5 linked regions of the Danio rerio genome follow. The protein of the gene in region 2 purifies or fractionates together with the protein of the main gene of each other region. This does not show direct contact. Links are inferred from orthologs where the notes say so. Each region holds a gene or a part of one and is shown on either strand. Other genes may lie near its edges. The genes, in order: dnajb1b, dnajc7, pld2, vps13c and mlf2.

Region 1 (4,545 bases), on a different chromosome or scaffold from region 2:
ATATATTCTAGAGCAGTAATCACAACACCGTAAAACCGTGATATTTTGATCCAAGGTATCATACCGTCAGAATCTTATATCAGCCCATGCCTAGACGATGTATCTGCAGCCATATCGTTATCTGCTGAAAAATGCTATTAATAATGTTATCGTTATCATTCCAATTTCAAAATTAGGCTGATATCTTTAAGCCAATTAATTTTGTACTTGTACAGAACTGCCTGCTTTTAAGTGTGGAGCGCGGTTATAAAAGTATTAAATGACTTACAATTGTACAAATATGTAATACTTTTCATTTGACATTTGAGCTGGTTTAAGTACTTAGTACTTTTTCGTTTTCATTTTATTTAAAATGTTTAACTTGTTTGTTAATTAAATCTAGTTGTCATTTAACCTATTATTTTTATGCAACAGTCAAGTTGCATGTAAATTTGCTATGTGGAAAAAAGGAAATGATTTATGTGAAAGTGTGAATAGGTTTATATAATCACCTTGCAATTTTGAAATTATTACTTTTTTTGCTTTAAGAAGGCTATTTTTAGATCAGTTCAAACTTTTATGAAGTTTTTTTTTTAAATAAAATCAGTGGTTCACTGTGCAAAAATATAACATTTTAAAATATTTATATTCATCAGCTAATACATCAGTTATCGGCCTTCAAATCTAAGATTTATTGGCTATCGATATCAGCCCAAAAACCATTTTCGGTGCATCCCTAGTATTTACATGCTAATGTGCATTTCGGAAACCAAGGAAAGTGAACGTCTTAGTTTTCTTGTACAAAAATGTGTAACTTTCAGTATGAACAAGCAACCAAGCCATGTTCAGATACAAGAGTCAAAACAGGCAAGAATTTTCTCCTGTCTGTTTCAAGTGTTTTTGATTTTGCTGATTGATCTTTGATGTTCCTTAATGGTGTGTTTGCTTTCAGAAGTTACATTTTTTGAAATGGTATAAAACATGTTGGTTATTTCAAATATCTAGTGGCCTATAAAATTATTTAGCATGCTATTGAATATTTCTTCAATATCATAGAAATCATCTCACCTCTTTGAGAGTAATTTTTGCAGGATAAATGATGTCCGATCCATCTCGTTTGTACACCGGATGCGGTTTATCCTTCAACACAAACACCACATCTGCAGGGATATTTGACGGCGTCTCGTCGCCTTCCCTGGGGAAGGTTATCTTGGTTCCTTCCTTCCAGCCTTTTTTCACCTCCACTGTCAGAATCTTGTCCTCTGAGCGTGTTGTTCGTCCATCGGGGTTCAGGCGCTTGCGTGAGATCTTCATCTTCTTGGTGCAGCCAGTGAACACTTCATCTAGACTGACACGGAGGTCGTGGATCACTGCAGGGTCTTGTTTTCTCTCCATTCTTCCACCGTGACTATGTGTGGTAAAGGAGCGAGGGAAACCACCAATGCCACCCATACCAAAAGAAGCAAACGGGTCATCAGTTTCCATGTTCTCATCCATACCGCCATTATGTCCAAAAATATGTTCGAAAGGATTTCGCCCTCCGAAGAACTCTGAGAACATCGCATGAGGATCTCCTTGGAAAGTGTATGTGTAATTTCCACCACCACCACCTCCTCCAGGAGCACCTCCCTTCAGTCCTGCAAATGGCACACAAATAAATCAAATTGCAATCTTTAAACAAAAATACAACACTCAAATTTCAAGATTAATTTAATAGTTCATATAAATGTTGATTATTTAGCATAGAACCACTGATCATTTTGATTACTCAACTACACATACTGGTAAAAGGACTGGAGGTTTGTATTCATCTTAACTTGTATCTCCAAAAATATCTAAAGGTTCCTTTTGATAGATTTTCTATTAGTAAATATTTATATTTAAGTGCTAGTCGTTTTAAAATGTTCTGGAATGTGCAAACCCATTTAAGATTGTTTAAAGCTGAACAGGTACAGAACTATTGACGGAACTCAAACGCTCTGCCTCTTCGCACCACGTGACTATCAGAATCTTCCAGCAAGCGCTCGACGCTCTAGAATGTCCCGCACAAGCAGCCAATCAGAATGCAGCATTGCTGATCGGATCTCGTTTACTTATTTTTACAAAATAAAACTTCACTATCACAGATTCAGCAGATTGACTTATCTCTAATTCAAACGTTTGAGTAGTGTAGAGTGCGTCGAAAGCAGCCCAGGACCACGTAACATCATAGATTAAACTGATTCAGCCAGTCAGTAATCTAATCTATCTCTCTTGTCTCAAACGTGACTAGAAGAAAACAAACACGAACACAATAGTTTGTACTTTAAACAACATATCTTATTAGTAAAGGCTCATAATCCCTCTTAAAACTCTTCTTATTCATATTTGCGTCGTGGAACAGAGCCACAGTTACAAATGTTTGCATATTTTTACTCACCTTCTTCGCCAAATCTGTCGTAGATGTCTTTCTTTTTCGGGTCACTCAGCACGTCGTATGCTTCCGCGATCTCCTTGAACTTTTCCTCGGCTCCGGCTGACTTGTTTTTGTCCGGATGGTATTTCAGCGCTTGTTTGCGATACGCTTTTTTAATTTCATCGTCAGAAGCGCCTTTCTGAATCCCCAAAACGCTGTAATAATCTTTCCCCATCTTCACCATTAGGCTTCCGTGTTTCTTAAATGTATATTCTCCGAAAGAAAAACTGCGGTTCAGACTAGTGTTGCTAGCCTGTTTGTTTTCAAACCAACCTGAAACTAATCTTTGCAGAGGTGTCGTCTCGTCCCCTTGCGGTCTTTTATGCTCCTGCCGCTCTGTGGTTCCCCCTATTTAAAACCGTAAAGAAAGTTCTAGAAAATTCTCAAAGTCTCTGGTTGTTTCCACACCCCTGGACCTGGACCACGTGGCAGATCTGCTCCACCCGCACAGCTGCTGCAGCAAACGGGCAAAACCGAAACCAGAAGAAACTACAGCTGCGTTTCTCTATCAAACTATGATGTACTCAAACATAAACAGGCCTGTGTGACGCCATAACGGGCGCTTCTCGGCTGGATTTCGTATGTCGTCATTTATATTTGCATAATCCCCTTACATTCCTGACCGAGTGACCTACAAACTCTGTCCAGGGAAGATGCTATTTTAGACCAATGATGATTCTCATGTTTTAACTGTACTATTATTGTTATAATTATATCTTTATAATATTAAATCATCTACCTTTTAAAAAATCTTATGTTTCATTAAATGTTAAGTGGAAATTATTAGGAAGTATATTTTATTATTATTATATTGAATGGATTGTGTGTGTGTGTGTGTGTGTGTGTGTGTGTGTGTGTGTGTGTGTGTGTGCGCGCGTGTGTGCGTGTGTGTGTGTGTGTGTGTACAAACAGTGCTCAGCATACATTAGTACACCCCTTAACAAATCTTATCTTTTAAATTCATTTTTAAATTCATGTTTTTTAATATTTTAATACGTTTACAATATTATATTTGTGCATATACATTAGTTTAGTCAGTACTGAAGTCAAATCTGGACCAATCTAACAAAATAACTTTCGGTAACGGACCAAAAACTAGTTCACCCATATTAACATGTTATAGAAAAATATTAAATACAAATTTTAATGAGAAGAGAAGCAAAAAAAATAAATAAAAATTTGGTTGAAATTTTGTAGGTTGTAGTTTTTTTTTGTTTTTGTAATATTTTGCTTGAATTTAATAGTATTGTTTTTTAATTTCTAAATATGTTTGGTGGATAAAATAATTTTTAAATAAATATATCCGTTTCATAAATCTGTTTTGTTTATATGCACCAAATATTATTATTATTATTATTGCTTATATTCACTGAGTAAAGGATAAAAATATTAATGCTGAGTACTTGTTATATATATATATATATATATATATATATATATATATATATATATATATATATATATATATATATATATATATACACACAATAACAAATTTTAGTTTTCTAAACCTCTCTTATTGTTGTGGGAAAATGTACTTTTGGGCTTTACTGTCTACCCTAGTCAAGAGGAAAATTGGTTTTATTTTAATCATTTGCTTATGTTGTTAACAAAATTTTGATTCATAAATGTAAATGTACTAATAAGCAGTGGTGGAAAAAATACTGAAAAAATCTAACCCAGGTAAAAGTACCATTACTTGGCCAAAAATGTAGTGCAAGTAGAGTAAATGTATCTGTTGTAAATATTACTCAAACTATGAGTAAAAAGTAGACCTTAGAAAAATACTCAGGAGTAGTGAGTACTACACTGTAAAAACCTGATGCGTTTCCATGCAATTTGTGCGTGAGTGAAAACGTAACATTCTGTAGTGCATTTATTCATTGTTTAAGGGCCTTTGGGCAATCTAAACAGCCTCTGGGCCATTGCATATAAGGATTTTGTACATCTTTCTGAACACTTTCAATGCTTTAAAATGGTTTGCTGCCTTTCAAGAGCCCATGTCAAGAGGTTGTTTAAAAGAATGTGATTTAGTTTCTATGTGCAATTTGATTGGACAGAAATCGCAGAACTGATTTTTTTTCTCACCCAATCCCCATAGACAAGAAAAA
Region 2 (4,048 bases):
AGCTTGTAATCCTGTATCTATTATAGACCAGTCCTGGTACTGCATCTCTCAGGTTAAATCTTTATGGGCTATTCACATATTGCATTCAAAACCATGTTGAAAACACGAGGCATGCTTCTTCCTTTACTGATATAAATGTTTTTGTGAACTCGTGATCCTTTGCCGTTTGTCTATGCTATGGCCACCATCAGCAGTTTATGCACGTATGGCACGGTCAATTTTCAAAATAGTTCAACTTTTGCCACTGTGTGGATTAACAGATTCATTGAGTCATTCACATGATTCATTCAAAAGACTGGTTCATTTATGCAAGTGACTGGCTGTGTCTGAATTTGCACAGAGCTAGTCACTTAATGATAAAGATCATGAAGTAATTACGCATTTGATTTGGCACTTAGGAAAACGTGATTTCACCTTTTTTCAAAATGCAAAGGCACTATCTTTATGATTAAATCAACCAAAGGCTCAGTCTTCATTCAAAGTGGATACATTTTTTCAGGAAATTTTAATTAGCGAAACAAAATAAACAATATTGTGTCTAAATTAATTCTTTAATAATAAAACCTTTTCCCAATCCTGTCCCCCTCCCAACTTACTGTCATGTCAAATCAAGATGCCAAAAAAAAAAAAAATAATAATAATAATAAAAAATAAAAACACAACAACAAAAAAATAAACTGATAATTCCATATCCACAGGGATATTTTTGTGTTCAAAACTCGAAAGCTATGGTCATTCTGACTGAATTCGTACAGTAAAGCTTTTGTGCTCTCAACAGACACTTTATTTTTGCTAAAGTGAGTAATAAACTTGATAATATGAGCACAAACATCCCATAACAGTGCTTTCGTGGATGATCAATATCACACACCCTTTGTAGAGTCTTCAAACATATTTCCGTCCAAATAAAAGTTTGGGTTCAGATTGTTTTTCCAATAAAAATAATTAGTTGTATTAAATAACAGTGAAGATACTTATACTGACAAAAATAGTTTAAAGTAAACACTCTTCTTTAAGTAATCTTTCATTCATTAAAAAAATATTTTCACACAAAAATAAACAACACTGATATCAGACAGAAAATCAGTGTATGAGACTGATTTCTGAAGTATACTGCAATACTGAAGACAAGAGTAAATGATTTCTAATATTCTTATTTTTTGTATGTCTGAAATATTTTGAAAGCATACTGATCCCAAACCTTTGCTTGTTAGCGTTCAGTGGTTTACAGTCTAAACCAGTGAATTATGGACGATGAAGACAAAGTACATGAAATACTACCTTCAAAACTAAACCCACCAGGGCCGCCAAAGAATGCTTTGAAGATGTTGTTGGCATCAAAGTCTGAAAGAGAAGAAAATAGAGACATAAAACAATTCATCGTGATCATTTAACAAGCTTAAAATACATTTCCTGTGTTTGACACTATAGATTGAGAGTAATTGGTTTTACACATTTGGTTTCCAATACTTGAGCATTTCACCATAAAAAAGTAACAATGTAAACACTTTATTGAATTTTGTAATTTATTTAATTAATTAATTATTTCATTTATCAGAGACCCCCCCCTCCCCCTCATAATTTAACCCATATTACCCCATCATTTAAATGTCCGATACATATTCTAAAGCAAAACACTTAACCTTTTCAGCAAAAAAACAGTAAACCTTTTGTGTAAATTGTCCCAAAGCCTGGTGCTTAGACACAGAAACAAACCAACGGAGTCAAGAAAACAGTCAAGTCATGCCCTGAAGAGCAACTTTAAGTGAATTCAAAAAAACAGCCTTGATTGAGTCAATGCTGGAAATGAAACTGCTTAATTTAATTCCCTCTGTTGTCTGCACTCAGCATTAGTCTTTTAAAGTTCTGTTTACTCAAGAGCTGACACTTGGATTATTCAGCACAGCCATGGCATGACGCTTTCAATAAGATCTAGGCTTTTAAAAGAACATAAATGACATTCGCTTTCAATAAAAACATCATTCCAATGCTAATAGACAAGGAACTGATTATTTTGTCTCTGCAGGTGACTGTAATGAGGGCCCAAAAACAAATAACATTTCTGATGACAAGCTAGTTGATAAAGTCTATACGGAAAATAGCAAAAACAAAACAATGACTGCATACATTCACCTGTCACTTTATTTGGTAAACCGCTAGAAGATTGTTCTGTTTTGCTGTCTTTAATCGTCTGAAATAGTCTACTACTGGAGTACACTTACTGGCCACTTTGTTAGGCCACCTGTCCAATTGCTCGATAATGCAAATTTCTAATCAGCCAATCACAATGCAGCAACTCAATCTGCAGCAGTTTAAACAGAGCATCAGAATGGTGAAGAAATGTGTCCGATCTGAGTATTTCAGAAACTGCTAATCTACTGGGATTTTCACGAACAACCATCTCTAGGGTATACAGAAAAAGGTGCAAAAAGCGGCAGTTCTGTGGGCGTAAATGCCTTGTTGATGCCAGAGGAGAATGGCCAGACTAGTTCGAGCTGATAGAAAGACAACAGACACTCAAATAACCACTTGTTACAACAGAGGTATGCAGAAGAGCATCTCTGAAGGGACAGAAGACCACACCGAGTGCCACTCCTGTCAGCTAAGAACAGGAAACTGAGGCTACAATTCGCACAGGCTCACCAAAATTGGACAATAGAAGATTGGAAAAAGGTTGCCTGGTCTGATGAGTCTCGATTTCTGCTGTGACATTCGTATGGTAGGGTCAGAATTTGGCGTCAACAACATGAATATGCAAATCATTAAATTTGTCAAGTAAACGGAGCGTCATATGTTGTCTATTTAAAAACATTAGACTTATAATATTTAAAGTTAATATTAGTGTTGCTATAGATGTTATAAATAAAAGACGTAATGTTGAAAAGGTGAAACTTAAAGTAAAGTCTTTGATTAAAATGACAGGTAAAAGTGAAATTATAAGCATGTGTATATCTGTGCATGTATATAGGCATATTTATTTCCCCCTCTATCAATGCTGAAGTAATGATGATAGTTGACCTCTTGTTATATTATTTGAGTGTTGTTGAGATATTTAAAATGAGTCATGTGACCATAGCACTCAAAAGAGGCTCTAGATGCCCCTGATCATGCCCCGATGAAAGCAGTTCCTTGCCGTAACATGTAGGTTTAGGGATAAAGCCTTTATTTACATGGCTTTTAAATTTTCCACATTTTTCTAGTGCCTTGGACTGATTTTTGTTGTAGCACAGACACATAATTTAAGCTACCCCTGAGCACTTTTTGTTTGATTTTGGACAAATGATATTTTGAAAAATGTCAGTAACCAAACAGAGCTAGCAACACGTTTACTGCGATAGATAGAAAATAAACAGTATGGGAGTAAATGGCGAGAAGATCTGTTGTTACTGACTTTCTTCCAAATATCTTGTATATAGTTTGTTTTTTAGCAGAACAAAAAAAAAAAAATAGGAACAACTCGAGGGTGAGTAAATGATGGATGAAGTTTAATTTTTGTGAAAATCATCTTCCATATTGAAATAGTGCTGACAGAAAGAGAAAGTGTGTGAGAATGGAAGTGTGAAAGGGACAAACCCATGTTCATGTCATCGTCCTCCAGGTCGTGGCCGCTGTCATATCGTGTCTTCTTTTTGGGGTCGGAGAGCACAGTGAAGGCCTCGCCGACCTCTTTAAACTTCTTCTCTTCCTCTTTCTGCACCTCAGCGCTCGCACCGCTGTGTCGGTCTGTGAAGAACACATGACCCTTACTTTGTAGCGTATACCATGCCTACTAAGTTCAAATCAAATCCATTCTAGCCAAGAGAAAACCATAAAAGTCGTATACATATCTCAACTTTTAATGGAAATGAGCAGGAAGTGAACAGGATTTGCAAAAAACTTGGATTAAAAGATCTGTTCCAACTCTCTGCGATCAGCTGCAGCTCAAGAATGACTTTTACAAGTTTAAAAAAATTTTTAAAACCCTGCATGTTTGTAATAGAATAGAGAGGAAGCATTTACATTTTATTTAATTTCCTGAAGTTTACACACAACATGTGAACAGGCCTAT
Region 3 (4,048 bases), on a different chromosome or scaffold from region 2:
TTATAAAACCGTGATTACAATCAGACAAATTAAATTTTATTCTTAGGAAAATATGTATTATTTTAAAATAATTGCACATTCTTATAAAACATCTTAAAAAGTCAGGGTATGTTGAAGAGTATGTGAATGTTCAAAATCTATGCCAGACCTATCACGTGCACTCAATGCAGAAGTATAAATTGGGGTTAACACTAGTACTTTTCAACACTGTATTTTTTTAAATCCTCAAATGTGAAGATTTAGCATTCGGTGTGTTATCCTTATTTCTGCATGGACATAAACATTTCCTCCTGAAGCACGTGTTATGTTCTCTCAGGCTTAGCTGACTTGCATTAGGACCCTGTGTCTGAGCATGAGGCCAAAGCAGAGAGCTATTGTGTGCTGCCAGCTGAATGCAGTGCAATCACATGATCCTAGTGGGAGAAAACACTGCAAACAACTCCACAACACTGAGACTCTGTGTGTGAACAAAGCGCAGTGTCTGTTCAGCTGTGTGTGCGCTGAGTCTTATGAGTCAGAAGCAAATGCTTTCTGTAAGGTCACAGGGCGGCTGTTACCTCTAGATAAATGTAATGCTGGCTGTTCTCAATAACATGCACATAAGCATTGAGGATTGAGTGTTCACATGTGCCAGCAGACCAGCGATCAACTGAACGAAGAACCTGGAATAAAAGAAAAAACAAATAGATGACGGACAAGATTAATGACATTTCGGGGAAAGGGAATGAAAGAATGGGGACACGTGTGTACCTGTACAGAGGCTTTTGTTGCACCGGGGATGCTGAATGGCAGTGTGTCTGATGTGCAGTGAGATTTTGGCAGGAGATATGGGTAGAAATCATCCTTATACTTGTTCTTAAAAATCTTTTAATTGACACAGAAAATAGGCAATGTGTAAAAAAACTGGTAAAAGTTTGTAGTGTGAAAAAGAAAAAAAATTTAAAAGTTATTATTTTTTAAAATTTCCAACCTTAGTGAAGTTCCAGCGCTGGATGAAATGTCGTGCCAGATCTCTGGCTGCTTTTCCATGATGCGCTGCACCCAGGTCTCGCCAGGGGATGCGTGGCACCTGAGTTCTGTCAACATTGTCTAAGAAACAAAAGCAAAAGCTACATTACTGTTAAAGCCACATTGGACATTTCCCAACATTTGTTCTTGTTAAAACCAAACTATTTATTCCTGCAACTAAGTAATAATAACTAATAGCTCTTCTTTTTAACATCTAACTTTTTATATACCAAAGAATCCTGAAAAAATAAACAATAATCAGCCTATGATAATAAGTTTAAAATGTAATATTATATATATATATATATATATATATATAATGTAATTATAATATAATATAATACAATCTAAAATAATATAATACAATACAAATATTTAAACAACAACATTTCTGTTAGTATATTATTAGTCAAATGACTTGGGCAAAGCTAAAACTTAATTGACATATGTTTCTATAAACATTGCAAGTAGGGATGCTCATAATAACCAATTCACTGTTAACCGAAAGGGTGCATTTTTAACCGTTTAATGGCATCAGTTAAACGATTAAAAATGTATTTATCTCTACAGTTGAAGTCAAAATTATTAGCCCTCCTGAATTATTATTGTTTGTTGTTTTTTTTCCCAATTTCTGTTTAACGGAGAGCAGATTTTTTTTAACACTTTTCTAAACATAATAGTTTTAAGAACTCATTTCTAATAACTAGGCCCACACGGAATCTGTGGGTGCAGAATTTGGCAGATTTTCTGCAGATTTTTAGCCCATCATTAAATCTGTTTATTTACTTGAGTAAATGTGTGTAAATCTATATTTATTCAGTTTTTTAATTATTTTCAGTAATATTATTGACTAATATGAAAATGTTCATTCGATCTATGTACAATACAGTTTGTAAAGTAATATTTTCTGTCTTTTAGTAGATATATTATATGAAAGACTTTCTTTGTTTACAAAAAAATACAAGTTAAGAAGATAATATTTTTTTATTTCACATATTAAGGTTTTAGTCATGATACTCCCAAAATAATTCTGCAGAAATCCACAGATTTTTACCAAAATTGCAACAGAAATAACAAAAAATGTCCGCAGATTCAGTCTGGCCCTACTAATAACTAATTTATCATTGCTATGATGACAGCACATATTATTTGACTAGATGTTTTTCAAGCTACTTCTATACAGCTTAAAGTGACATTTAAAGGCTTAACTAGGTTAATTAAGTTTTATCGATTAACTAGGTTAATTAAGTTAAGGCAAGTTATTGTATAATGATGTTTTTTTTCTTTAGACTATTGAAAAATAATATATAGCTTAAAGGGGCTAATAAATTTAACCTTAAAATAGTAAAAAAAAAAAAAAACTTTTATGCTCTTATGCTAGCCAAAATCAAATAAATAAGACTTTCTGCAGAAACAAATATATTTTTAGGTATACTGTGAAAATTTCCTTGCTCTGTTAAACATAATTTGGGAAATATTAACAAAAAAAATCAGGGGGTGGGTGGGTTTAATAATTTTGAATTTAACTGTATATTTTTTGATTAGTTGCATAATTGTGCAACACGTATTTGTTAACTCACGGGATGCTAACAGGTGCAAACACAACAGATATATTTAGCAAGATGAAAGAAGGATATTGCTGGTCACAGTTTGACACAGACGAGTTGATGCCAAACCAGCACTGATGCTGATTGCCTCGGTCCTGGATCTGCCTCATAAACACTTCTGTTCATTTGCACAATTGGAGAAAGAAGCACAAAACAAAACTTTCTAAAATGTGCGCTGCTTTGGAAACAAGCCGGTCATAAGTTGGAGTGTTGGAATTTTCTCTCATCAGAGTGCGCTCCGGCACCTCTTAGGAACACAACAAATAGGCTACAGTTGTGATGATTTAGTGTCCAACCAACAAACCAACCTTTTTTCCATTTGGAAAATTACAGTTATTAATAGTTCTTATAAAATATCAATTGTTAAAACAGCCTTCATAGCATGCAATAACTTCATGCATATTGATAACTCCACACCAAATTAAAACAAAATTGTTATATGCTATAGTAGCCTATACTTTACAAAAAGCCAACATATGAGCTTTGTCATTGTCTATTATCACATGCAGCGCGCACATGAACCACGAGTGAGAGAGAAAATAAAAGCACACAAGCTCTAAGATGAAACCAGATGCTCAAGACATAATCTTTAAAATAATGACTTCTATTAAAAATGTTGACAGAGGTTTGTGATTTATTAACAGTGGAGCATTAATTAAATGCATATTTTCTGTAGAGCGATAGATTTGAGGTAGCCTGCAAATTTATTTATTTGTATTTTTTTTAAACATCATGGGAAAAACCATCATGCTGTTTCTTAAAAATGATTCAGTCAGTGTTTTAATTTTTTTTTATCTAAGTTTGTAATTTAAGTGAAATATATCTAGGTCAGGACTAATTACTTTACTCTTTGTATTTAGTTTATTCCTAATTTCTGTGCTGTTGGAAACACTGCAGGTGCTTGAAGGTGTTCTGTTGTTAATATGTTTGCATGTTAAAATAAATCAGTATTTTAAAATAATATTTATTGTGTCACACAAAATAGACACGTCAAAATTAAAAAAAAAAAATTTAATTAAATATTTATCTGAACAGTTAACGGTTAATATTTGGTTAACGAGCGGCAGTTGTTGGTTAGCAAAATTAGCCGAAATGAGCTTCCTTAAATGCTAGAGCCTGGCTAGAGCCATCCTTAAAGGTTCGAGCCTCAGCTGGGTTAGTTGGCATTTCTGTGTGGAGTTTGCATGTTCTCCTTGCGTTCGCGTTTGTTTCCTCCGGGTGCTTCGGTTTCTCCCACAGTCCAAAGACATGCGGTGCAGGTGAATTGGGTAGGCCAATTTGTGCGTAGTTTATGAGTGCGAATGAGTGTGTATGGATGTTTCCCAGAGATGGGTTGCAGCTGGAAGGGCATCCGCTGAGTAAAAACATATGCTGGATAAGTTGGCGGTTCATTCCGTTGAATGAATGAATCTCCAGGGTTTCTGCCAGTTTCA
Region 4 (4,822 bases), on a different chromosome or scaffold from region 2:
CGTAGTGCGTGACCTACATTTAATGGTAATAGGTCATTGATAAAGATACAAATCTAGGGCAGGTCTTCTTGTTTCTAATCCATTGGTTATAGATTTGATTAGAGATGCACCGATCCCTATACTTGGATCAGATATTGGTTCGATATCACATATTTTTGCTGGATTGGGTATTGGCCATCTGGAGTATAGAGGGTTATTACCTGCTCCTCATACAAAGTAGGCCTAACTGAAATTTTAAATTAGAAAAGGCTCAATAACCAAATACATTGGACAGATCCTCAACGCACTGATTTGCTCCCTTTATGCTGCTGTTTTGGAAGTGTCACAATGAGTTTCTGTTCTCTCATCCTTCCGACTGAGTTTATTTTTTCCGAGGGGAAACCTTTCAGTGCTGTATATAGTTCGTAAAGCTCATTGTGGTCAAGTTTATTCAGTTAATAAAAATGAAACTAACAGGCTCAATATGGATTGTCATTAACAATACATTATTTAGCCTAATATAGACTTTTCTGAAACAGTGAATATTTCACTTTAATTTTATTTAAATTAGTTTTTTATTTAACAGACCTGTTTGGGTTTTGGTGCTGAAGCATATAAGCGGCCCTTGTTTTGAATTTCACCTCAAATTCGTTCTTCTTGTTTATTTTGTACAAATGAAGATATATTATTAGAGTTTATTAGCAGAACTATAGAAACAGCATTACGTAAAAAAAGAGCCACAGTATCGGGATTGGATCTGTATCGGTCAATATTCAGAATTTTGGTATCAGGATCAGACTGATTTAAAAAAATGGTATCGGAGCATCCCTAGATTTGATATTGAGACATGAGCATTATAAAAGAAAATTATGTTGCAGGGGTGAAGTTTTAGCAGACACAATGAATGAAGAAATCCTGCATAATACACCATCAAGAAGTCCTTCATTTTCATTGGAGGATCTAATTTGATTTTTTGTTTATTACGATGTCAGGATAAATTGGAAGCACAGAGCTGTATCAATCATAATTTGAAATACAACATGCATTTACCAAAGAGAAAAGGTGAACCTATTTTTAATCCAAAGGATTTTGGTTATTTAAATGAGCATGGCTTCGAACACTCCTTTTAATTTTACAGTAAATTAAAGAATCTAGGTGGAGTTGTTTCAGCCATGAAACATCCAGCTAAGTGACTACAATGACACATCAGAAAGTTTGATATGTGACTCCAATTAAAGTATACTAACTAGAAGATAAACAGAGCAAACAGCCATATTTGCATATAAACAAACAAACGCTGACAGTAAATGGTGCACAAAAAATAAACATTAACCATAAGTATAGAATTCATGGGACATTCAGAGGGTCATATCCCAGAGTAGGGCTGAACAATATATCGTTTAAGAATCCATATCGGAGTTTGTGTATCTGCAATAGTCGCAGGATTAGATTCAGATGAAAAGACAAAGATATTTAAAACAAAAAAAAAACTATTTTAATCATTTATAAAATGATGACCGTATTATTTTACATTTAATTGCTCAATTTGTGTATCCTGTATACAGTTTGACACCATAAAACCATAAAGCACTGTTTATTTTGCTTTTATTTTTGCTCTGATGTATTTATAAATGCTTGTTATGTGTGAAATTTTATGCTGATGCACTGCACAGAAAAAGACTTGATCATTCCAGTCGATCTATATTAAAGAAATCTTTCCAATTAGAGCTATTAAATCATCTGCTGAAATTAAATTCATATAGTAATATATGTATTTCGCATAGAGCAATAATAAACAGTTATTACCAATATTGTTTGTTTATTTATTATAGCTAACTCATTTGATTCATGGGCGACACTGTGACTTAACAGTCACCTCACAAAGACACATTCCCAGGTGGAAAAGTTGGCATTTCTGTGTGGAGTTTGCATGTTCTCCCTGTGTTGACGTAAGTTTCCTCCGAGTGCTCCGGTTTCCCCCACAGTCCAAAGACATGCGCTATAGGTGAACTGAATAAACTATATTGGCCATAGTCCATGTGTATGTTTGAGCGTGTACTGTATGAATGTTTCTCAGTACTGGGTTACAGCTGGAAGGGCATCTGCTGTGTAAAAAATATGCTGGATAAGTTGGCGGTTCATTTCGCTGTGGCGACCTTTGATTAATAAAGGGACTAAGTTGAAGGAAAATGAATGAAAGAATGAATTTGATTCATTTATTACAAATATTACAGTTGCATAAGTTAAGAAGTGCATAAAATTCCTTTTATTCCCCAAAATAATATATAACAAATAATTCTAATGTAAAATGTTTGACACTGTGTATCTCTAAAATAAGAACATTAATAGTGTGGGTCAGAGGAGCAATGGGATAAATCTGCAATAATATCCTGCATCAGGCTTTTTCAAGCAGTTATTTAGAAGCGTTTCAGTGATATTTAGCAGCTGTTTCTAATGGCTCCAGAACTTAATTCCCAGATTAAGTGGGTAAGTGTGCAGCACAGAAATTCATAGAGAATTGTATGGCATTTATTTTGTTGTTCCTCAAGGTGTGGTCCACTTCACCTTGAGCTTTACTTGCACACATTCATCACAACAAAACAAACAAAACAAGCCTACAATACAGACTGCTTGCATTCAGCAGCTCAGCTAATCGTCTTGAACCATTTTCTGTTTGTCTTATCAAGAAGACAATCGTTTCATTTATCTAATGCAAGCAGGAACTTGAGTAATGACCATGACAGCTCTTTTTTTTACACAGTTAGGGCGGGAAACACTACAAATATTAAAAGCAAACAATGTAAATAACGTTAACAGTTATATTCCTCGCCTCAGAAAGCAAGCAACTTAACAGCCTGCCAATCTTACAGAACAGAAACAATTATGACCGATAGTCATTTGTGGACACTGTAAAAAATGTCCGTATTAACGTGCACTGAACATCGACACATGACATTTTGTAATAAACAATAATTCGCAGAGAGGGAAACGCGTTTGTTTGCACTGATGTTTACAGGCAGTTTGACGAATATACGCTTACCTCCCCATATGCCAATCTTGAGCTGCGACTTGTCCAGGTTTTCCACATAATCTCCAATAAACCTGTTTAAAAGATCACTGACTAAAGACTCGAAGACCATGATGAGTCGAGAACGACAGCGACCCTGTCGCAGAAAACACGCTAAAATGACACAATCCGCATTTGCTAAGGTTACTTCCCTCGCAGTGTGACAGGCGTTCACGAGATCGGTTCATCCGGCGATCCACTCACACTGTCTGCGCCAGGGGTCTCCGAACACTTATCATTAACAGGCTGAGTAGTTGATACAAGAACGTGGATCACAAAGCGAAAGTGTGGTGAGGTAACTCATAGTCATTTGTTTACCAAATGAGAAACTCTTTAGAATATTTGATTAATTGATTTATGTGCAAGATATATCATTACTGTTTGCTTTAGTTGTTTTCCCTTAAGGATAATACATTTAAGTTATAGTTTACCAAGATGTAAATGTATGTACTGAAGATACACGTTTGATGATATACGTTATATATGTCCCAAATTATAAAAGAAAACATTAAAATATGGTTTTAATATTTAGCATTATGGTTTGTTATTTGTATGTCATTTGTGGTGGAAATTATTAAAAGTTATTTAAGTTTCTCTTTCTGTTGTTGTTGTATTAAAAATACAAGAAACCCACGCGAACATTATAATAAGGAGAACATGCAAATTCCACACAGAAATGCCAACTGACCCAGTCGAGGCTCAAACTAGCGACCTTCTTGCTGTGAGGCGACAGCACTACCTACTGCGCCACCACGTTGCCCATAATTCATTCATTTTTGAAAATATTAAAAGGATATTTTACCCCCAAATGAAAATGTATTTATCATTTACTCACCCTCACATGGTTCCAAACCTTTATGGGTTTCCTTTTTCAGCTGAACACAAAAGAAAATATTTAGAAAATTGTTATAAACTTGAAACCGTTGATTTCCACCGTTTATGTTATTCCTACTAACTTCTTTTGTGTTCAACAGAAAAAAGGAACTCAAACAAGTACAGGATGAGAAAATTATGACTTAATTTTCAATGCTGGGTGAACTATCCATTAAATAAATGCTCCAAAATGAATACATATCTTATTTCTCACATGCATTATATAATAAATCATAATAATCACTACCAACTTTATATGGCTTTAAATAATTTAATAAAAAATGCCTTGATTATACAAAATTGATTGCATAAATTTAGATTTAAGGACCTGACTGTGACTGTGATAGCGTTTATTTTCTGTCACACTCTCCTATTTGTCTTCTGGCTGTGGTTTTCTTTTAGGGACAAGTTTCCAAGCTCTTTCTGGTGCACGTGGTCTGCTTGAAATCTGTTTACAAGTTGATCTTATGATGTTTGAGCACATAGAGGCTTTTTTGTGTTTGTGCTGAAGGTTTTAAGTCCAAACATTTTGTCTTAAACCTCAAACCTTTAATTATTAGATATTGAAATACACAAGCTCTTCTTTCCTACCATACTATAGAGCTAATAATATGCCAAAACAATCTGAATTTGAATTGTGTTCATTTGAATTATTGACAATAGTTAAAGAGACTAAGCCTAAAAGAAAACAAATTAATAATAAAAAAATATATTTAGCAGAAAGTAGGTGGTGAACAACAGGGAAGAGTAGACGATCACAGAAAAGTCAAACTAAGCACTTTGGCCAATCACAGAGCTGTGGAGTATAGCTATTTCTGCACTGAATTTTGTAGAAAATCTGCAGATTTATGCTGTATGATTTTAGGAGTATTATAACTAAAACCTTAATATATGAAATAAAAA
Region 5 (3,917 bases), on a different chromosome or scaffold from region 2:
GATGGTGTTTTCAAGACTTTCAGAAAAAATAAATAAATGGTGCGAGACTGGTGACGGCAGACAGAGGAGAGAATAATGTCAAATTTACTCTCAGCCCCATAGATGCCGCATTAGAAACACCTTGCATAAGGTGTTTTTTGTAATTTGACGCCAAGATGATATAATACATACAAAAATGCATAAAAATGTTGATATGTTTTTTTTTTTTTAAATCAAATTATTAAAAACTTTCAAGGATTTAGGTTTATGATCACAGTTAAACACGTCATAACAGTCTTGAAAAGGGTCCTTTTCTAAATCACAGAGATGTGCCTTTCTTTATTAAACCTTTAACAATACTGAATATTTAGATCTGTGCTCAGACCACACAAAATGCAAAATACAAATCCCGAGAGATGTATTTTGGATATAAACACTACAGTCCACAGAAGTGAAATAGTAATTAAAATAGCAAATGTCCTTTTCAGGATAAAGACCAATGTACTTATTGCTTCAAATGCAGAGTGTACCAATTACATTTGTCACCATCTACTTGTGTAACAGTCAATAGCTATGTTTCTACCCAAAAAGGTGAATTACTTTTTCATAAAATGTTTGCGAATAAAGCACCCTTTCCATCCAACAAGTCAAAAAGAACAAAATCATGCTGATATACTGGAGCCATATATCTAAAAGAAAAAAAAATATTTTGCCATAGGAGAAGCCACTGTGTTTTTTTTTTTTTTTTCTTTTTCGAATACAATAATATACTTATAACTCAGAAACGAAACCCAATGAATGCACAGTGGTTTTGGGGTGTGCGAAAATGCTCTTTGTGACCACAGATGCTCAAGACAGTTCTAGAGGTAATAATATGGAACCAATATAATGACAAACTTTGGCTAAGGGATTTTAGCATGACCGAAACAACATTTCAGATGTTGTGCAATGTGGTCGGTCGCCTATTTTTTCCATTAATGCAGACCCATTGTGCTCATCATCATCACATGATCTGTTATAACAAAAAACACATCACTTTTGATGTGCATGCTAGGATTTATTCAGAAAATACAATTCCATCTAGTTCATGCACTTTTTAATAGGATAAAAAATGTATCCTACTACTCAGTTGCATGCATAAGTTTCCAAATTCAATATTCCAAAATATGAGAAAATAGGTTAGATGGAAACAAAGCTATTGACTAAAAAAGAAATGTATGTCATTAAATTAATTGTTCAAGACATTCTTTTAAATATGACAACTGAATCTGCAGCAATCAGATTTTTTTAAAAACTTCTACTACATGATGTGGAAAATATCATATTTTGTTTTGTTCACCTTTTCAGAGACTTTGTGACTAATGGGTCACCAATATTAGTACTTTGAGAAGGTATGACTAGATGTACATTGGATGGTATGATGTTTCGCTTTTTCTTCTTGTTTTCTTTACCTCCATCTATCTATTGGCTTATTTACTTATTTTCTTATTTTTAAAGTATAACTAAAATTTCTACAGCTCACATTTTTTGTAAAAAAATTGTCTGTAAAAGCACATTGTATATTTATTTTGATAATCTTAAATAAGTTTTGATGTCTATTCATAATCATGTTAAAATCAATTGTATTTTAAACCAAAACTTGGCTGTAATTCTCAATTTATGGAGAATTATGCAGCTCTACTCCACACATGAGTTGAGTTCTGGCAGTGTGAGACTCATACCGTTCACCAGTCGTAGCGTGGACGGGATTGAGGAGGATGGTGGCGTGGTGACTCGTGGCGGGGTGAAGGAGAGGAGGAGGAGGTCGGAGGTGCTGTGAGGGCCAGCTGCTGTCCAACCCCTGCGCCCCGCTCACGCCCATAATCTAAACTGCGGGCAGTAGGGGGGCGGTACCGACCCACCTCTCTCCTCCACTCTTCATCAAAGGCAGCTGCCTCACCTGAAAGAGAACCATTTCCACAATAGTGAATGGGAGAATTTCTACACAAAGGTCTGAGATGAAATTTAAGTAGTTACAGGGGGGGAATGGTAGAGAGAAAGGAGGGATTTGACTCACTCTCCTCCAGGTTGAAGAAGTCCTGCCTCTCTTCACGATCGCCTGTGAGACGGTTCCTGGAACGCTCCATCACATGACCTCTCTCACCAATGTGATGCCCAATAGACATTCGCTCCAGCCCGCTCTGACTGTCCCGCATCGTTTGACGCGTCTCTCTGATCTAAACAAACAATTCAAAAAACATTTAGGGGCGATTCAGCAGTTGTGCTCCTTCAACTGTGAGATACTTCAGTGCAAAAACATCTCCTGCATTCTCTTGGTTTGTCTGGACTAAACCAAAATTTAAATTAATCCATTTAATCCTAGCTTGGTCAGCGTTCATGCAGGGAAATTTAACACAAACCTAGAACTATACAAAAAAAATTAGTTCCTAAACAAATTTGACAGCTTGTATAATGCATATTTTGCTTTGCTAATAAGGCACTTTTCCCCATTGCTCCGTGTTTTGACCTCTGCTCAAAGCTGCGTTTGCACTGCACGTCCACATATGGTTCTGAGCAACGTAGCTCACTTTATTCAGATGGGATTATTGGTATACTTGTGCCACATTAACTGCTGCGACATTAGGGCTGGGCGATTAATCGAAATCATCATTCAGAACCTATAATCAATCTAAATTTTATAGGTCAATTATTTCAATTTCTTTTCCTACAACATGTGGGATTATGTGACTCCACTCTGTAAGCCAAACTTTGCAGCCACATCAGATCTCTGGTCAAGTAGGACGATGGACTCATTCTTGAGCCTTACTTTGGACTACGTTGACAATAATTGAAAGGTGCACCAAAGATGCCTTGAGACATATTTTCCAATACATTTAAATTATTATTTACATTAAAGTATTTGTTTACCGAAGATGCAAGAAATGCACGGTTTAAAATATTATTTGCAGGATATGCAAGAGTTATTTTATTTAAAAGATATACTGCTTATTTTCTATTTTCAATATGAAAAACTTTGAAAACAAATGTTTTATTTTTTAAAATAATAACTATTTATTTTCACTTCTTTATAAGAAAAATGTGACTTGGTTTAAGACAATGTGTGTTTTAATTTCAGTTGTTCAACTTTGATGTTCAATAAATAATCAAAGATAGTGTGTGTTTACGTCAATTATGATTTTAAAATCAAGTAATGCACTCTTCATTCAAAAATTTCTCACTTGTGATTTGTAAGCATATTTATGGTACGAAACCGTCAGTGAACTATGAAGGCAAAAAATAAATAAATGAATGAAATAAATAATGGTTCATTAATCGTAACTGAGTTAAAATGTTTAATTATGAAGATCATGGTTTAGGCCAAGTCGCCCAGCTCTATGTGGCATCATAGTAAACAACATAAACAAACGCTTGACACAAACCAACAGGTTTGCCTTGCGAACCAACCAAACAGCAGTGGCTGCTGCTGACTATTTATATATAGCAGGTTGTGTGTCTCATTTCCCAAATCAATTGTAAGTCACTTTGAACAAAAGCATCTGCTATATGACTAATTTTGTAAATCCAGAGACGCTGATAGTGGCGATCCTCTCAAAACAAATTGATGATCTGCAGTGTGTACACATCACGTTTTGATAATGGAACAACTTGCTTGGAACATCAAGGAGGTACTACTAAAAGTATCAAGTACTAGGTACAAAACACATTGGAAAAGCCCCCAAAAGTAAGCTGTACCAAACCAAATCATGTCGTAACATGCAGAGGAAAAGTGGCTTTTTACACCGTTTTGCATACACCATTCTTTTGGCGTCATCAAACCTTGGATTTGTAGCAATGCAACATTTTGTTTTTGCTTTGTTGAGTTTTTGGCAAGTGTTGCATTTATTTTTTTTAGTCGAACCGCTTCAGTGTTTGTTAGAAAGCGGTCATATTCTATTAGC

Evidence for each region.
Region 1: the proteins of dnajc7 (region 2) and dnajb1b purify together in Homo sapiens (affinity purification with mass spectrometry; 3 studies listed by BioGRID and IntAct, with this or other methods). This does not show direct contact. The link is inferred for Danio rerio from reciprocal best matches to the Homo sapiens genes DNAJC7 and DNAJB1.
Region 3: the proteins of dnajc7 (region 2) and pld2 purify together in Homo sapiens (affinity purification with mass spectrometry; 3 studies listed by BioGRID and IntAct, counting the BioPlex papers as one, with this or other methods). This does not show direct contact. The link is inferred for Danio rerio from reciprocal best matches to the Homo sapiens genes DNAJC7 and PLD2.
Region 4: the proteins of dnajc7 (region 2) and vps13c purify together in Homo sapiens (co-immunoprecipitation; 4 studies listed by BioGRID and IntAct, counting the BioPlex papers as one, with this or other methods). This does not show direct contact. The link is inferred for Danio rerio from reciprocal best matches to the Homo sapiens genes DNAJC7 and VPS13C.
Region 5: the proteins of dnajc7 (region 2) and mlf2 purify together in Homo sapiens (affinity purification with mass spectrometry; 3 studies listed by BioGRID and IntAct, with this or other methods). This does not show direct contact. The link is inferred for Danio rerio from reciprocal best matches to the Homo sapiens genes DNAJC7 and MLF2.

Annotation. Positions count from the first base shown.
Region 1 is NC_133176.1:59,235,408-59,239,952, forward strand, and holds the start of dnajb1b (dnaJ homolog subfamily B member 1b), read right to left. Parts: upstream 2,996-4,545; 5' UTR 2,619-2,995; coding exon 2,399-2,618; intron 1,617-2,398; coding exon 1,048-1,616; intron 1-1,047. UniProt on the Homo sapiens protein: Interacts with HSP70 and can stimulate its ATPase activity. Stimulates the association between HSC70 and HIP. Negatively regulates heat shock-induced HSF1 transcriptional activity during the attenuation and recovery phase period of the heat shock response.
Region 2 is NC_133178.1:16,684,509-16,688,556, reverse strand, and holds part of dnajc7 (dnaJ homolog subfamily C member 7), read right to left. Parts: intron 3,724-4,048; coding exon 3,574-3,723; intron 1,345-3,573; coding exon 1,282-1,344; intron 1-1,281. UniProt on the Homo sapiens protein: Acts as a co-chaperone regulating the molecular chaperones HSP70 and HSP90 in folding of steroid receptors, such as the glucocorticoid receptor and the progesterone receptor.
Region 3 is NC_133180.1:39,308,413-39,312,460, forward strand, and holds part of pld2 (phospholipase D2), read right to left. Parts: intron 1,090-4,048; coding exon 971-1,089; intron 865-970; coding exon 751-864; intron 663-750; coding exon 558-662; intron 1-557.
Region 4 is NC_133182.1:29,744,954-29,749,775, forward strand, and holds the start of vps13c (intermembrane lipid transfer protein VPS13C), read right to left. Parts: upstream 3,254-4,822; 5' UTR 3,120-3,253; coding exon 3,020-3,119; intron 1-3,019. UniProt on the Homo sapiens protein: Mediates the transfer of lipids between membranes at organelle contact sites. Necessary for proper mitochondrial function and maintenance of mitochondrial transmembrane potential.
Region 5 is NC_133191.1:35,023,423-35,027,339, reverse strand, and holds part of mlf2 (myeloid leukemia factor 2), read right to left. Parts: intron 2,196-3,917; coding exon 2,036-2,195; intron 1,919-2,035; coding exon 1,704-1,918; 3' UTR 1,701-1,703; intron 1-1,700.